Linked DNA regions of Schizosaccharomyces pombe. The protein of the gene in region 1 purifies or fractionates together with the protein of each later gene. This does not show direct contact. Each region holds a gene or a part of one and is shown on either strand. Other genes may lie near its edges.

Region 1 (5,440 bases):
CAATGGCAACAAGAAAACCTCTAAAGTAAGTTTAAAGCGTTGACAAACACCGGAAAAATGGTATTTTTTTAGCTATATACTAGCAAATGACAGCTTCAATCAGCTAAACTAAACTAACAAAATTCCATGTGCAGCTTATCAACGTTTTAATTGCAACTATCTTTCAAAGCTTTTGGTAATGTAGACTTACCTGTACAAGTCCTGTAGCATCTCCTGCAAGCAAAAGTTTTCCATCCTTTCTAATGTTACCAGAATATGCGGTATCCTTAAATCGAGCAATTGTTTTTTTAACAGACCTTGAACTAGCTCCATAAATTTGTACACGAGCCCCACTAGTTACTGCAAAGTCATAAGGGGATTCAGCGGAAAAATGAATACTAGTGATAGCACTATATTCCTTGGCAACGACAGGAACCTTGAATGACCGCCAAAATTTATTTTCAGCAGTAACGGGATTAGGTAAAGCAGCAAAACGCTGAGGTTGAAGTCTACCAGCAGGCGCGGACATGATATCCGTATATGTGGTTGCTGAAAAAAGTTAACCAAATGGGTGGGTGGTGTTGGTGGTTGGCAAAGGCAAATTAAACAGCACCGCTGAACGATAGTTAAATCACATTAAATATTAATAACTAAATTTATAGTTTACTACGAGTAATAAAAGTTTAAATAATCATGCATGAACCTCATTTATTGACTGGTAACATCCTTATCATGACGCCGTCTATGAGAAACGTAGAATTCGTTATAATTGAGACGAACGGAAAGAAAGCGCATTTCTGGGTCCTTATGGGAAGCTAATCCATGTAATAATTTTTGAAGTCGAACCTGGAATTCCTCAGTAAAATTTGAGAGTTCATTTTTTATAGGGGTGTATTGAGCTGCCAAAGCATCAGTCGAAATTGGTACATTAATGCGAATTCTATTCGACAGGGAGCAAGAAAAGTTATACAACAACTCAATTGCATCATGAAAGTTTAAGATAACTTTAAGTATATCATGAAGCTGATGAAGGAAGGAATCTTCATTCCTTGACTTACCACCACCCAACAAGCCCTTATGAGTTATACTAGTAACATATTTTTCATGTGCCTCTATATACGTATCCAATGTAGCGTTTGGTTTCTCCATAGCAAGCTGTAATTCTTGCCAACTAATTTCGATAACCTGTTTCCAATGGTTAGTATACAATGCAAAATTGGGTTTTGGTTTTTCGTTACCTCAAAGAGTATATAATATTGAAGTTGACAAACAAAATGAATCATTTCCGCAAGATGACAACTGACAAAATGCCATTCGAATTTTGTGTAATCCAGATTTCTGAAGACATTTCGCTCGCCCAAATTTACTCGCCTCCAGGAATGGGCAAGGGCAAACTCAATTCGTTTCAACCTCCATAAAAAGTTAAATATTTTTAAGTATTGTCTAGAGCAATATGGTGTTATTATTACGTTGATAGGTGAATCAACTTTATACTCCAACGTAAAAACATCCCAACCAGTTTCACCATGTGAAAGCTCCAGAAGCCTAGCATCCAATCTTTTTAATACGTATTCAGGTTCATAAGATGCATTACTTGAACGAATGGCGCTTTCTAAAGAAGCAGTCAAATTGTGTCTGAACAAAGTATTAGCCGGCTGATCCAAAGAATTACCAAGGCTCTCCATTAATAAGTCCACAAAATCACCTTGTCCTAGTAAAAGGTATTTTTTGATAGCCTTTAAATGATCAGTCAAATGAAACACCTCTTCCATCAAGTATACTAAGTGATTAATGGACTCAGTATACGCCTTATCAACCACTGTTTCTAATGAATGAGGGTCTCTATAACTAAGTTTTTTCACTAGCTTCTGGTAATGCTCTTGTGCCCAGTCAAAATCACCACATCCATAACGTGCGAAGTTTAAACTCTTTCCAATCAAAAAGATTTTGTCGACAAGTTCTTCAGAAAGGAAACTTGGTATTAACTCTTTGTCTAAAAAATATTTACCTTTCCAGACGACATCACCTTGCCCTTGATGATCATGGCTTTCACTACCATTTTTTTCTTTAACAAAAAATTCTTGATAAGGGTCGACCAATTCTCCTTTATAAATCCAGTTTTCAATCATTTCGTATAAAGGTCCAGTAATTTCTGTTAGTATTTTATCACTCAATTCTTGTATTAGCGGATCTCCATGCACATTGTATTTCGAAACCACTTGAATCAATCTTTTTTTATTCTCCTGGTTCATATTATCATTAACAACTGAAGACAAAATTCTAAGTTTTAGCTTGGCAACTTGCGTCCAGGCAATGCAACGCCGGATAGTTACCATAGGCTTCTCAAGTGAAGCGTCTGCTCGAATTTGTGAATCCAGAGATGCAATTAACGCAAGGAAATTAGTCAGCTCTTTAGAAATGACCGATTTTAAACTTTGTAAAGCTAAAGACTGATCGTTTATAAATGCTTTACTAACGTTATCACCATCAATGGATTGACTGACCGAAGGATCATAATTGCTGAAAACCTTTAGTTCCTGATATAATAAGCCTGTCTCTGAAAGAGCTCGCATCTGTAAAAGGTATTGGACAGGTATTCTCTTAGACAACAGCGCTAATTCATTTTTAAACTGAACATATTCGGTAGAAATTCCTTGAAGTACGTAAGATATTGAAGACAACAAATCGGCTTCTGTAATCAAAGTATGTTGAACAGAAGAAGTTTCAGTACTACGGTTTAGCCTAGATGAATCATGAGCAATTGAGATAGAACTTTCATTTTCCAATCCTTCATCCCAATCAGTAATTTGGGGGTTTTCAGGAACTTGATCGTAACGTGTCTGACCAAAGTTTGAGGATTCCACTTCTGTTGATGGAATATTGATAGGATTGGAAATAGACTCATCTAATAAATGAGAGGAGACATCTCTTGATGACTGAGAAATAGGAGAGAGCAAGTATAAGAAATAGAGTATTTGAGATTTGTTGTGAATGACCGTTTGACTTTTCAAACGCGAAACTAAGTTAGATAATTTAGAAAATAAAGCATCATTGTTTTCTTCGGGGGGAACTAAAAAACTGTTAATTTTGGTATTTAGACCTTCACATACTTTTTGAATATATTTTGTACAGAATGTCATCAATGTCCAGTTGAAAAGTATCAGGAGAAATGCTAACAGTTAGCATGATCATTTACACGAAATTAGCTTACGAGTGAATTATTTCCTGAAAGAAAGACACGATCGTTTCAATTGTGTAAGGGACAGAAGGGTTTTTGGAGTTCTGTAAATACTTGTCCGCCAGACGTGATAATGCAGTTTTCACATGAATCTCCGACATTTGAGAACTTCAAATGACGAAAGTATTTTTTTTATTTTTGAATTAAAATAGAGAAATACAAGTATTGATCGTTAACTCAAAATCTTAAAGCCATTGACAAAGTACACGCCGAAGTCGCGGTCAGGAAATAATGGTTAGATGAATTTACGCATACACCTATTTTTACTAGTGATTTTTTTTTAAATTAAATGATTGATTTTATTTCAAAAAGATTGAAATTAAAAATATTAATGCACATTAGATTAGAAATTCAGAATCTCGTTCAACGATATTGGTTTTCTCACAGCATTGGAAAACCCATCGTGAAATTTGATATTGATTGCATGCTTGATGGAAACTGGATGATCTCCTGTATTCAAAGCTGCATTATTCGATGTAACTGCTTCAGATTTTGGTTCAGAAATGATACGGCCAAAAAAATCTCTCTTAATTGCTTTTCCGGAATTAAAATCTTTGCGCTTTCTTGAAGAATTCGAAGAAGTGGGGTTGTCCGTTAGGGTTTGTTTTTTAATGTCTGCGAGCCTTTTCTTGAGCAGTTCCTGAGATAGCATTTGACGAACAGAATATGAACTTGTAGGTGCGTCCCAAACCAATTCATCCAAAGGTCTGTCAACGTTAGCTATTACTAGAAAGAAATAAAAATATTGGAACTTACGGCTCAAGCCTATACACATAGTTGCCATCTCCAACGGGAAGCTGTTGGAAACGCAAATTATAATGATTTAAAATGTTAATCGCATGCTCAATTTTAGAAGGTAAAGCGCTCCTTGGCATAGAATCTTCTTTCTATAAAAAGTTAGTAAATTAAAAAAATATTGTTTCACGCAATTTTTTTTTTTTTTTTTTTTAAAATATATAGACCTTACCTGTTTTAGTGTAGGATTTATGGTAATTAAAATTGTACGGATAAGTTCCAAAAGAATTGATCTTTCTCCATGCATTTGATTTTCATAAGCATTTAGCGTCGATATGAATGAATCCAATATTTCTTTGCGAGTACGATAAAGTTTTAAAGCTTCCAAATCACTTCTGGGAGGATGCGGAAGGCGGCACTTTTCAGGAGTTGCATACAAATAATGAAAATGAATAATGGAATAAGGTATGTACCTCCATAACTCATAATTTCCCTTATAACATTGTGAATGAAGTTGGTCGAAAAAGTAAAGCCACTCGCTTGTCAAAGCAGGTTTAGAAAGTAAGCTATCAGTAAAAGGAAGATCTAAGTATGTATGAAAACAATTCATCAAGACTGATTCAGAATCATTAGCTCCATCAATCCTTGCAAGGAGGGCGTCCAAATGTGAGTAAGTAGGTTGCGATGCTTCAATTGCACGTATTTGTTTATTATCAAGTTGTAAAAAAAGAGATTGGATTAAACTAGAAGTACTAAAAGAATTACTTTTTGGTTGCAAAAGCTTTATGGTCTCAGAATCTATACGTTTGTTATTTAAAGACAAAAGTTGTAAACTGTTGATACAGCTTCGAATGTCAGAATTATAGATATCTGTCAGCAAAGTCAAAGAGCGGCTGTCAACAGCTATATTTTCATTTCGGCAAATAGTCCTTAAACGACCGACAAGAGATGCTTGAGGAGGTGGTCGAAAATATATTATTTGAGCATATGGTCGCAGAGGTCGAAGTGCTGGAGTATATAAGTCATTACAAATGCAAATAATGGGACGACAAAGTTTCTTAAACTTTTTCTTTTTCTTTGAATTACCAGCTTGAGAATACTCAGTCGCTTTTTCGTCACTCTCTAATAAACTCAAAAGTGCTCGTACGAATGCAGGATCACCTCCGTCAATTTCATCAACTATAACACATGTAGGTTGAGATGACAAGGCTGAATGATTGCTAATGGCAGAGGATACCTTTTCATGAACCGTATGAGCAGTACGATCATCACTAGCATTTATTTCCAAAACTTTGTATCCAGCCTGATGAGCAATAACATGAGCCAAAGTCGTTTTACCTGCACCTGCCAGTCCAGTCAGCATCATAATCCGTTTATCAGGTCTATCACTATCAGAAGTGATATTAGTAAATCTGGGGTTAAAACGCATACTCTTTGAGGGCTGTAATCGAGATTTTCCAAACACACAAGGATCCCAAGCTTTTATCC
Region 2 (5,359 bases), 2.3 Mb from region 1:
TTAACGATTTTGACGGTCTCAACGATTGTTTAATTTTAAGTCTTTGTAAGATATTCAAAAAATCAACTGTATACTTATAAATCGTTCTGCTAATCTCTTATAAACAACTCTTTTTTAGGTTAAAGCCGATACCAAAGAGATGAAATGAACTTTTCCAAATGATTGATGTTACCTACTTCATCAACAATTGCCTAATTCTTGACAGTATATTGAATACGATGGATTAAAAGTGGTAATCATTTTGAAAGGGACCATTTATGCAATAATATCATCCTTTAATTGTAGTGAACATAAAATACTTAGTTACTATTTAGACTAGTACTTTTTTTAGAAGAGGACTTCGTTATCCATGAATTAAGAAGCTTGTTGCGCTTCAATAAGCTTATTCACTTTGGCTGTTCTTTTCCGTTTTATAAAGTGTTTCTTACACGAAATAACTACTTGTATGCATTCAATTTCTTGCTTATAAGTTTTTTGCTTGTCTTCACAATCGGTGGAACTTGAGCAAATTTTCAAGTACTTAAATAAGAATTGGCTGTTGAAGGTCAATTAATTAAGTGTTGGGTTTGCCTTGATTTCGATAAATACCATAAAACTTGTCTATATTATTTATTTTCTGTGTCAAATTTTAATGAGCCTTTCCTTCTCTATTTTTTTAATTACCAAGTCTATCATTTTCATTTAATTTTACAATGTCATCAGCGAAAGTAAGGTTCATACGAATATGCATGAGAACCTAAGCGTCAGTCACTAACCCCTTTGTTATAGTATGTAGTGGGCAGCAAACCAACGGAAAAGAGACCCAAGGATATAAAAAGCATTAAGTCTGTGCCGATATGTGAAAAACATAGGGCTAGTGTAGTAAAAGATATCTCTCGCAAGATCTCTCGAATTCAAAGTGGTACGTCCTAGATTGTTTTATTAGCAAATTTAATTAACTTGCTAAACTTGATTCCGCTTTTATCATTTCTGTGTATTCTAACCATGAATAGCAACGTTGCCTGAATATCAAATTCGAGATTTGAACGATGCAATTAATCGATTGATGCGTGAAAAACACGAATGGGAGGTACAAATTCGTGATCTGGGTGGGATTAATTATCTGTATAATAAAGCAAAGCTATTTGAGGATGAAGGAGAACAAATCAGTGATATAGACGATTATCGTTATTACGGAAGAGCTCGAGAGTTACCTGGCGTTAAGGAACTTTTTGAAGCTGATATGAGTTTTATACCGGAAAGACAGCGCAAACAGGAGATGCAGAAAAGAAGGTTAGACGCCTGGTACTTTGGTTACATACCGCCAGCACAAGAGAGTCTATTAGAAGATTTTGAGGCAAAGATTGAAGAACAACAACATAAACATCTTGAGAACCTTGGTGATGAAGTTGAACAAGATTGGAAACCTCTTGTCATTGAGCAAATACCAACTAGAGACGATGTTGAAGCCATTCTTTTAGAAAGGCGTAAAAATGCTTTGCTGAGCAGAATTTCATAGATTATGAAGTAGGACTAGGATAGGAGAATTAATTTTATATTTTAAGTCTGCTTTGACATCGTAAACTATGAAGGATTTTTTAAAGAGATAAATAATTGGGATCTTCACAAGCTTCGTATTCATTGATCAAGTCGGCAACGACGTCGCTGTCAAATACATTAGTAAATTAACTCAAAATATGAAATTATAAGACAAGATACTTACCGAGAAGAATCGAATTCGTTAAGATCATCTTCGAAAATAGCCTCCTTTTTATATTGCTCTAAAAAGGCATTTCGTTTCCGCAAACGATCATATTGATCTAGTGTTCTCTTGAATAACTACAAAGATTAGTATTAAATGTCTCAAAAAAAAATTTGCAGAAACATACAGAGGCAATACTAGTGTGATTTGCAAGCATAAGTCCACTAACACGGTGGTTCGTTTTTATATAGGGCGACTTTTTAGAAAGTGCAACTTGTATACTTGCTGGTCCCCAAGGAATGAATGAAGCGTATCGTCGTTCTCTTATGCGAAGCAAGGATTTGTGAACGTCCGCCGGATCTGCTTCTCCTTGAATGATATCCAAAATACTAATAAAGCAACTCTTTTTGCTAGGATTGACGGAAACCATCTGGTTTTTAGGCAACAACAACCTTCTCATCACATCAAGCACGGTAGTTTTCCGAATGGCCTTTGCTTCTTCCACTTGCTGATTGGTAAAAGGAGTGTATGAGGTTAGTAAAAAGTGACAGCGAGGACTTGGAATTAATGAAGCTATTATACTGACAAGATCGTTGTTCATGTAGCCAGGATATCTTAAAGTTGTTGTACTGGCAGACATAACAGTTGAAACCTAGAATAGTTAGTTGATGAAAAGACCTAATATAAATCAATTACCAATTGGTTTTGTTGATGAAACGTAGGGTTCTGAGTATGTAACCGATCAGCAGCAATATGAGCAAGTGCTGCATTGTCCAACACAACAACAGAATCAGCATTCAATGTCAGTCGCTTCAATGCAAGAAGACTGTTGTAAGGCTGAACCACAACATCTGATACGGATTGACTATTAGGGAATACTGAATAAGTTTGGATAATCTTCTTGGGATAACGATCGTTTAATCTCTCAAGCAAGAAAGAGCCCAGCCCAGAACCCGTTCCACCAGCGATAGAATGTAAAAGCGAGAAACCCTCTAGAGAATCACTTCCATCAGCTTCACGATCTATCATGTCCATTATATCTTCAAAAATCCTCTCAGCATGCGAATAACCATTAGCCCAATTATTGCCAGCACCTCCTCCATTTTTGGTAATAAGTATATTTTCGGGATTATAAAGGCTGCCGTAGGTGTCGCTTAGAATATTGTTGACCACCTAAGGTAAAGAGGACATTAGTCACTTGAATATTTCAGCAAATACTAATAAAAGGATGCGATAACATACTCTTGGTTCCAGATCAATCAAAATGGCTCTAGGAATGTATCTAGTATCATCAGACTAAAATGAGTTAACATGTTGAAACTTTAAAGTGTATCAATAAACCAACCTGGTAGAAAAAAACGTCTTTTCGATCAACACCCTCAGTTGCGAAACTTTCTAGCGTGCCATCAGGCCCAATGCCATGTTCCAAACACAACTGTTGCCAGAATTGTGAACCAACTAGACAAGTTTGTGAGTAATTAGAATTTCGATTTGATTAATAGTAGTATAGGTGAACATACTTTGATTACCACATTGACCAGCTTGTAACGTAATGATTTCTCTGCCCATGATTAAACAATGAAGGAGCAAACAATCTTTGATGTTTGCTTCTTACTTAAAAGTACAACCGCGAAAGATTTTTTGCTGAAATAGGTGGTTTTCAAAAGAAGGGTATCTTGAGGTATTTCGCTGTGCTTGGGTGAACTGTAGGTCGATAAGAGAAGGTTGGTAGTAAGAAAAGCAAACATTTTCCAGGTCAACTAGACTAGATTATTATAAATAATTACATATTTCTTGACTATAAATTTATCAACCTTGGAGCTGATTCGAGCATTGCTGCAAAATTCAATTAGGAATGACAATTTTTCTAACAGGAAATTAGAAAGCCAAAGTAAGTGAATTTAGAATGTGTCATAAAATTTAGTATTGATTACTATCGTATCTAAATATTTCTAAATCATTTAGTACATTATTTCGTAAAAAATATATGCAACTTTGAATGTAAATATTAAAATTGAAAGTAACACAATAGACACAATTTATGAGTGTTCGAATAAAAAAATAATAGTGATATAAAATTAGACAATTCATGTGGATACTCAAACACTGAAACAAATGATTTTCCAAAAACTAAAAGTATTTTTGAAGACAATTTTATCTTAATTAATACAGATTGTAGAAAATGAAAAATTAACAAATAATTATTTGGCAAAGGTCTAAATATTTTACAAATTAATAAATAAATAAATTAATTGAAAGTAAAAAAAAAAATTGAACATAAATTTTTACTGAAATTATAATTAAGCTCAATAAGGTAATACCACACAACAACAGTTTGATTTTAATATTTATTTAGCAGGTGTAACATTTTTTTTTATTAACAACAAAGTTGCGAGCTTGTAAAATTGGGTTTTAACTTAAACCAAGATTTATTAAAAAAAGAATGTAAAGAACGACGACATATTTACAATGTTTGGAATTTAAAACTTAATAATAGAAACCGAATATCAACATTTTCTATTTCAAAAAAATACTGAGCATTTCTTAATAGTTATGCATATATATATACCTTTTAGCAAATGATTCCAACTAGCTCTTGTAGCTCAGTGGTAGAGCGCTTGCCTAGTAAGCAAGAGGCCCAGTGTTCAAGTCACTGCTGGAGCATAATTTTGATCCTTTTTGCTTTTTGCCCTTCAAAGGGCAAAAAACAATACTTTTAAGATAATACATAAATAATCTATCACTGATACCTTTTTCTACATCCTACTAATTTATTTGTAGATTAAAGTAAAAAAGTAGTTATACGGTTCCTTGTTTTTGTCAAATAATTTGCCTGTGTCCTATATCTTGTTGCAGTGCATATTCTTTTGGATGGAAGAAATCCCACTCTTAAAGTTAGAAAAAGGTTTCGCTTCACTTTCAACTTTAAGATAAACAACATCGGCCATTGGCAATCTCGTCTACTATTATTTTAAACAAAAGGTAGCAAACCATTACTAGGTGTTGTAACTAACGCAAACTACTTAATCGTTTGCTGCTACAATCGCCCCATACAATGTTTAGATACCTATACTGTTTAAGTATGAGTCTCAGCCATTCTATGCATAACCTTTACAAATACGAAATTTGAAATATTTTTACTAAATAGCAGCAAAAATTTCTGTCATTTTGGTGGTATGTTGACAAAAGACAATGGCAGTATACTGCGACATATCCTTTTTTTAACTTTAAAAGCAGCAAACAAAGGAAAAAGAATGTGAGACTGATTAAATAAATAAGATTTCTTTTGATAAATGCGATCCGACTTTTCTTCCTTGGAATTTTTATTAATTTTACGTAAATTTCTCTTGTTAAAAGATCGTGTTGACCCAAACTAAGGTCTGATGTCATTATGAAATAAGGTCAGCTGGAAACATAAGTAGGACGGTCAGCCGCGCTACACCTTACTTTCAACCTACTCATTCTATTAGTATTGAGTTTTGTAAGTTAAAATGTCTCATTTCTACGACTTGGCTCCTAAGGACAAGGATGGAAATCCTTTTCCTTTCAGCAACTTGAAGGGTAAAGTGGTCCTTGTTGTCAATACAGCGAGCAAATGTGGATTCACTCCTCAATACAAAGGTCTTGAGGCGTTGTATCAGAAATACAAGGATAGAGGATTTATCATCCTTGGATTCC
Region 3 (3,990 bases), 3.4 Mb from region 1:
TTAATATTTTTGAGGTTTTTCTTCCACAGCTACTCCGTTATCCTAATGCGTCGGACCCTCTAAATGGAGAGGCAGCAGCTCTATTATTGCGAGAGCCGAATACCTACTATGCCAAGGTTCGAGATTATATCGCTCGGTATGCTAATAAAGAAGACGCTGATATAACTTTGAACGACTCTTCAGATGATGACACCATGTCTTCTATTGACACTGAATCTGGCGATGAAATTGCTGGTCCAATGGACTCTGATTTTTAAATTTCGTTACGTTGCTTTGTTTGATATACATTGATTCTTTTTTGAATTCTCTTTATGGATACTGATTGTGGCATTCAATAAACCGATGGATAGCTAAATCTGTTACACTTTTTTTTCTATTGATGCATTGAATGATTCTTTTTGCATGCTGTCGCTTGCAAAACCCGTTTGAATTTGCTTTCAATCAGTAGTCGTGACAACGATATTTAATAGGTTTATTTTCTTGAAGCTTCAAGTTACTGCAGCATAATTTACGACTATAACTCCATGATGCATAGTTAATGAGAACTAATATTTAAATAAAATAGAAAAAAAATATTAAATAAATACATTGATCATATCTACCTATAAATTAAGCTGAACAATCAGCGCGTTAATTATTTCCCTATCATACGATGGATCATTTTCTTTCTGTCGTATGCATTCAATCGAATGAGATACGTGAGCAGCTAACTGACAGTCAACTTTCGAAACTTCTTGACTACGAAATAAAGAAAGCTCATGGTAAATCGAGTTTAAAGAAATGTGTAAATCATCATCGTAAAAAAACAACATTTTCTTAGCGTAAGTCAACGTTAAAGCATGCAATTGAGAACAGTCTTGCATACGTAACTTTTGTGTTCTATATAACTCAGTAAGAGATTCCCGTAATTTACAATATGACGGCTTTATAACACATTCGTAGGCATAATATTGTAAAGATGATAAGAACCATAAAGTCACCCACAATTGAGTCCATGGTTGAGAAATACCTTTGGCAGTATACTCCTTTCTTTCGTAAAAAAGGGATTTGATTTTAGTTATACTTAAGTGTAAAGAACCTAGTAGTATCCATAAATCGGAATACACATTTAAAGCATTTTTATCCATAAACAAATTGAACGGCCATTTTAAACACAATAACAGTTGCATATTGAGTCCCTCTACATCGATTTTACGATTCTCAGAGCGAATCATTTCATCTTCTTCATCAAAGATACTTACAAGTTTTAGAAAAGATACACATTCTCCATATTCAGTAGCGAGATCAAGTAAAGAAATAGTTTTCCTTAAAACAACGGGTAAAATATCATCAATTACTACCCCTTGAACGTCATTTGAACTGCAATATTCACCACGAACGTCTCTGAACATTTCAGATAATGTTGGAAGAAACTCAACATTTTCAAGTAACATCACCATCTCTAGCATTTTTACCAAATCGAAAATCTGATGAAACGAAGCTAATTGAAATATTATTTTTTCTGATACCAGAGTGAACATTTCATCTGCTAATTTTGTCACTGAAGATTTCGTTAAAGGCAAAGGCATTTCATATACCAGTCTGTAGAAACATCTAAGAATTTCACAGAAAGCGTCTGTGAAACATTTTTTTGCATTGAGCATACACGTTCGTATTGAAACTAAGCAATTAACGATGTCTTGGGTCAAAAAAGGGACATTATTGCTACAAGATACAAAATCTTTAGTATCACCGCATAAAAACGAACATTTGAAGCTGTCATCGCCGGAATCATTTACCAAATACTGCACTAATTCGTCAAGCCAAGTCTTCTGAAAAGCACATTCACACTCTAAAACCAGCTTTTTAAAATTCAAATGAGTAGAGCCCATATACATATTATGCAGCTTTTGAAACGTAGAAGCTACACTCAAGCATTGAGAAATATTACCTTGAAGTACTAGCAGACTAGATAAAGTTTCTTTCCAATCTGCTAAATGCGCTTCTAATTGCGCCAAGGATACGAATTTTCCGGAACCTACAAAATAAGGATCGCTGGATATAATCATCCGCTCTAAATTAGCTAGACTTTCATCATAAAGAAATAATTTTTTCGAAAGCAGAAGTCTAAGAGCTTTAAGAAGAAACTGGTTTTGCTGAATCAAATCTTCATCAAAAATTTCAATATATCGTTCTATCCTTTTCCTTTTACTTGCCAAAGATACTATGTCATTAATTAATTCTCGTTCACCAGGGTGTAATGGTTGAACAGATGGATGCAGTAGTATTTGACCATTTTTCTCAATAAACAGGCCAGAAGTATTCCCTGCGAGCAACAAAATAATCTCATGCAACATATAATGTATTTATTGTTACAGAGTTTGCATGAAAATATTCAACATATAGCCAATTTAAGTAAACTACTCCAAAGGAGGCTTTCGTAGTAAATGAGATAAATAGCTAAAACTTATTCGTGTTACTTTGAAGGTAACGACTAGGGAATGTCTTGCGTTGTTACAATGAACAATAATCAATGTAGCATTGCATATAATTCAATTAATATATATATATATATATATATATATATATTATTTTGTAATAACCTAGTAGGTACTGTTTATCTTAAACAAACAAAGTCTCAGACGAGCGAAGGTTTAACGACATTAATTTTGGGCAACAGGTAAACACAACACTTTAAAATTGATTAGAAGGGGGAGGTGGTCCACATGGCATGATCATTTTTTCTAATAGGTTTTTGCGAACTTGGACTCTCGGTTCGCCGAGCGCCGTTGCCATATATGCGAGCAACGGTGGATGCCCCACTACAGAAGACAAAGTATCCCGGTGCTGATTTACCATCCATTCACTAGTTTATATGGTGAGCGAAAATTCATTTGTCAAATAAACCGATTAGTACTTACTATTTGGTGGTAAACGCATTACCGACACCAACATAACGCGCTTGTAACTGTTCTAGTTTTGCTTGAGAGCGCAACCTGTCTGCCTACAATCGTTAATAAATGAAAGAAGCATAGAATAGAGATAATTCAAGAATTTTTTTCTTACCATAGTATATATTGGAATATGTGGTATAATGTTCAGACTGGGTTTTTTTAACACATATTGTTAATTGAAACGAATAAGGTATAATACTGTAATTTGCAATTCTAAATTGCGATTTCTAGCGCACCAAAGCAACCACAGAAATAAACGTTTCAAAATAAACATTGCTATCCTTTGACCAAAAACCTGTAGTTGCAGTTTTTTGATAATAGGGAGCACTACACTTGAAGATGTCTTCTCTTGCATCTCAGGGTAATAATGCTTCAACTCCTGCATATCGTTATGGGTTTCAAACTTCAGAAGTTGGGGACAGGCCAACTGTAAGTATGCCTTCACAACCTGAGTCGAGTGCTATGCTCGAGGATGATGGAATGGTGAAAAGGAAACCTTTTGCTGCTATAGGAGAAGCCATACCAAAGGTAATTGATACAACCGGAGAATCAGTACGTGAAGCCTTTGAAGAGTTTTTATTGTCATTTTCTGATGACCGCGTTGCTGGAGGTGATGCTCTCCCTTCTGCATCACAAGAGAAATATTATGTTCAACAGATTCATGGATTGGCAATGTATGAGATTCATACCGTTTACGTTGATTATAAGCATTTAACCTCGTACAATGATGTGTTAGCTCTTGCGATAGTTGAGCAATATTATCGATTTTCTCCTTTCTTACTTCGAGCTTTACAAAAGTTGATTGAAAAGTTTGAACCAGAATATTATAGAAGTTCTCTTTCTCGTGAAAATGCTTCACTTTCACCGAACTTTAAAGCCAGTGACAAAACATTTGCTCTTGCATTTTACAATTTACCCTTTCGATCCACAATTCGGGACTTACGAACAGATCGTATCGGTAGACTCACGACTATTACAGGTACAGTTACTCGTACTTCTGAAGTACGCCCTGAATTAGCACAAGGTACTTTTATCTGTGAGGAATGCCACACTGTAG
Region 4 (3,160 bases), 2.8 Mb from region 1:
TCCTTTATAAATGGACAGATAGCTGAGAAAAACAGCTTTCAATTTCCCTGTAGTATACTACCTTCATACATTGATCTCTTCATTTCTCTTATGTCGTTTAAAAATTTAAATTTCAAGTTATTTGATTACAACCTTGCACATCATGTGAAGGAATCAATGGAGCGTGCTTTTCATCAACTAGTATTTTCGGCGGACGATGAGTATTTAGCGAGCGTTTATTTAATTTATTTAAAGCAAATGGAGACGAAGAACCTAAGTGAGGAGAAACCCCAAGTGAAGTAAGTAGATGTTTTTGTTTCCTTCTAACCAAATTCAGTAAAATTGTAAAGAAGATTCTCAAAAAATACGATAGTTCAGTGTCTGTTTGGAACACTTACGCTCAATTGGAACACTTAAGTGGTGCTTTTACTATGGCTGAAACAATTTTTAAAACAATTTTTCAGATCCATGCTTCCCAATTGCGCTACATTGATAATTTAAATGTATACAAAAACTGGGCTTTTAGAAAGCTACTTATTAATGATACTGAAGGATGCTTAGTTATTATAAAATGCCTGTTGTTTCCTGGTGATAAATCTTTAACTAGCGATAATAATCGAGCATCCGAAATGCTATTTGGTATGTTGGAAAATTGCGCCAGCAAGGAAGAATTGCTGTATGTTTGTCTTATCTATACTATATGGACACACTGTACTGATATGGATTCAATGGATAATTGTGTGTATTTATGCATTCAAAAATTCGAAAGCTATGGATGGGGGGCTTCTTCAGAAATGGAATGCTATTTTTCTTATTGTTCATTGATTTTTTATTATCAAGCTACCACTCTTCAATTCTATAATCTACCCAAGGTTCGACCTTTTTTTGAAAAGGGAGTTACACTTTTCAGTGCAAATACGGCTATATGGGAAGTTTATATATTTTTTGAATCTAAGTTGAGACAAGAGAACAAACCAAAAATTAGGGCTATGAAAATTTTAAAATCTGCTTCAAATGCTGTTGTTACAGCTTGTTGGTACCTTTTTTATGTTGCCGTTCAACAGATTGAGCCAACAAACTCACAGTACTTTTTAAGGACTTTGGATATCACTCTAAATAATGAAAAGTTGAAATCCGTCGCCAAGTTTTGGAGAATATATTTAAAGATTCTCAATTTGCGATTAAATGGTACTGAATGGGTTTCGGCGATTACCACCAAAGCATTGGCTTCCTGCCCCTGTAATAAAGGTAAGTTAATTAAAAACATAGAACATTTCACTGACTAAGTTTAGGGGTTTGTATGGACGTTATAGACTTGCTCTTGAAAAAAGAGATGGAGAGTCGGGCTATTATTTGCTATATAATCATGTTGGAAAAAGGCTTTAGAGTCCATAACGAAATAAGGAGAGATGTTTTAAAGTTTGAAAGAGGAGATGAACTTATTTTGTCCCCAAACTGACATTATTACGATCAATGACTTTTAATGATAGAGATAGTGAAATGAGTTTAAAATGACAGATTAGTTACTTTCAAGTTTGCGTAAATGCTTTAGTAGTCTTATTATTAAAGTTTTCACTTTTGTTTGTTAAATGCTTATATGGTTGCTTTTACGTTGAAAGGGTACCTCTAAGCAACCATCATGGCAGTACCTACTCAATTACTACACAACCTATTGCTTATTACAAAAATCTACAACACAACATGTCTAGCGTTCCCATAAGAACGAATTTTTCACTGAAAGGTTCTTCCAAACTTGTTAGCGAATTTTTTGGTTTGTAAATGTTTCAAATATGCCATGCTAACTTAATGAAGAATATGCGGTGAACTCAATCCTTTTTCAACGAGGAATTTACCCAGCAGAAGACTTCAAAGTTGTTCGGAAATATGGATTAAATATGCTTGTCAGTGTAGATGAAGAGGTCAAGACTTACATTCGAAAAATTGTATCTCAGTTACACAGTGAGTTGTTGTTCTATTATCACTTTTGGAATTAACAAATTTTTAGAATGGATGTTTGCAAAAAAAATTCAAAAACTGATTTTGGTAATTACTAGTAAATGTTCAGGTGAAGATTTAGAGCGGTGGCAGTTTAATGTGGAGATGGTTGACACAGCTGATCAATTTCAGAACATTGGCAACAAAGAAGATGAACTGCGAGTACAAAAAGAAATTCAAGCTCTAATTCGTCAAATCACTGCTACAGTGACCTTTTTGCCTCAACTAGAAGAACAGTGTACGTTTAACGTTTTGGTATACGCTGATAAAGACAGCGAAGTTCCAACAGATTGGGTAGACAGTGACCCTAGGATTTTAAGAGATGCTGAACAAGTTCAATTACGAAGTTTTAGTACGAGTATGCACAAAATTGATTGTCAAGTTGCATATCGAGTGAATCCTTAGTTGTTTTTTTTGGCATGATCCTTACCTATTAGATGAGATAATAGAAAACAAAGCTTTGATGTGTTCTATAAATCTCAAAATTCCGGCCATATTGTTTAACTATAATTCGGTGAATCCTATGTTTGTTTTAATGTCCAATATTTATAATTTTGTGACGCATCTCTATTCTATCCATTTATTTAATAATACTTTTGCATTCTTTAAAATATAATCATCTTCTCTTATTCATTAAACAAAATACACTATAGCAACAGCTCGCAATGATGTTTTCATTGAAACTTTGCGGCAGTAAATCAACATTTTAAACTGATGGTAGCATTTGCGAGGTAAGATTCTATATGCCAAGGTAACGACATTCATCTCTTGAGGTAGGTTTCTGACTACAAAATGAACACAGTAGCAAATAATTTAACAGAATTGAACAATGTGTATATCATTTTAAATATCAAAGTTAGAAATTCTAATTTAGTCAAGACGTGTTCCTCAATTTTTTTAAGACTGTTGAGAAGCTGGAATATTATTGTTAACGGAGTTTTCCGTATTTAATAACATTATCACTAATAAACATTAACTCGCGTTATCTATTAATAACGATTCAGTATGTATGACATCTATTCATCAGTTACTTAGCCTTTACTAGTACTGAGTGTGAATCATCGTTTCCTCAGAGAATACCAAGACTTGGACGGTTCCTCTTTTCTCTTTGCTTCTTGAATTTTGGGGCTATCTAGTTTTTTTTTGAAATTTCTTAAAGATTTATTCTTAAAAGCTTGAGGATTTC

The links.
Region 2: the proteins of alp6 (region 1) and gtb1 purify together in Schizosaccharomyces pombe (affinity purification with western blotting; 3 studies listed by BioGRID, with this or other methods). This does not show direct contact.
Region 3: the proteins of alp6 (region 1) and gfh1 purify together in Schizosaccharomyces pombe (affinity purification with western blotting; 2 studies listed by BioGRID, with this or other methods). This does not show direct contact.
Region 4: the proteins of alp6 (region 1) and mad2 purify together in Schizosaccharomyces pombe (affinity purification with western blotting, with the first as the bait; one study listed by BioGRID). This does not show direct contact.

What each region holds. Positions count from the first base shown.
Region 1 is NC_003423.3:480,389-485,828, forward strand, and holds alp6 (gamma tubulin complex GCP3 subunit Alp6), read right to left. Parts: upstream 3,441-5,440; 5' UTR 3,319-3,440; coding exon 3,191-3,318; exon of another isoform or gene 3,152-3,190; coding exon 3,090-3,151; exon of another isoform or gene 3,050-3,089; coding exon 1,218-3,049; exon of another isoform or gene 1,165-1,217; coding exon 688-1,164; 3' UTR 560-687; downstream 1-559. Other genes in the region: U3 snoRNP protein Utp15, read right to left, coding at 191-508; Ctf18 RFC-like complex subunit Ctf18, read right to left, coding at 3,561-3,924, 3,974-4,104, 4,185-5,440.
Region 2 is NC_003423.3:2,789,361-2,794,719, reverse strand, and holds gtb1 (gamma-tubulin Gtb1), read right to left. Parts: upstream 3,370-5,359; 5' UTR 3,251-3,369; coding exon 3,202-3,250; exon of another isoform or gene 3,140-3,201; coding exon 3,027-3,139; exon of another isoform or gene 2,978-3,026; coding exon 2,924-2,977; exon of another isoform or gene 2,855-2,923; coding exon 2,378-2,854; exon of another isoform or gene 2,334-2,377; coding exon 1,869-2,333; intron 1,819-1,868; coding exon 1,703-1,818; intron 1,645-1,702; coding exon 1,578-1,644; 3' UTR 1,499-1,577; coding exon of another isoform or gene 993-1,498; 3' UTR 902-992; coding exon of another isoform or gene 769-901; 3' UTR 708-768; coding exon of another isoform or gene 693-707; 3' UTR 536-692; downstream 1-535. Other genes in the region: protein Cwf12, read left to right, coding at 693-707, 769-901, 993-1,498; H2O2 scavenger glutathione peroxidase Gpx1, read left to right, coding at 5,173-5,359. UniProt on the Schizosaccharomyces pombe protein: Tubulin is the major constituent of microtubules. The gamma chain is found at microtubule organizing centers (MTOC) such as the spindle poles or the centrosome, suggesting that it is involved in the minus-end nucleation of microtubule assembly.
Region 3 is NC_003423.3:3,882,279-3,886,268, reverse strand, and holds gfh1 (gamma tubulin complex GCP4 subunit Gfh1), read right to left. Parts: upstream 2,420-3,990; 5' UTR 2,337-2,419; coding exon 603-2,336; 3' UTR 542-602; downstream 1-541. Other genes in the region: ubiquitin conjugating enzyme Ubc8, read left to right, coding at 1-257; sap10 (splicing factor 3B), read right to left, coding at 2,674-2,845, 2,901-2,983, 3,046-3,048; MCM complex subunit Mcm6, read left to right, coding at 3,273-3,990. UniProt on the Schizosaccharomyces pombe protein: Required for proper anchoring of astral microtubules at the spindle pole bodies (SPBs), during anaphase, ensuring correct cell polarity.
Region 4 is NC_003423.3:3,292,595-3,295,754, forward strand, and holds mad2 (mitotic spindle checkpoint protein Mad2), read left to right. Parts: upstream 1-1,680; coding exon 1,681-1,750; intron 1,751-1,791; coding exon 1,792-1,938; intron 1,939-1,984; coding exon 1,985-2,379; 3' UTR 2,380-2,601; downstream 2,602-3,160. Other genes in the region: nrl1 (NRDE-2 family protein), read left to right, coding at 1-278, 317-1,227, 1,272-1,438. UniProt on the Schizosaccharomyces pombe protein: Feedback control that prevents cells with incompletely assembled spindles from leaving mitosis. It interacts with the anaphase promoting complex/cyclosome (APC/C) thereby inhibiting APC/C-dependent proteolysis, a step required for exit from mitosis.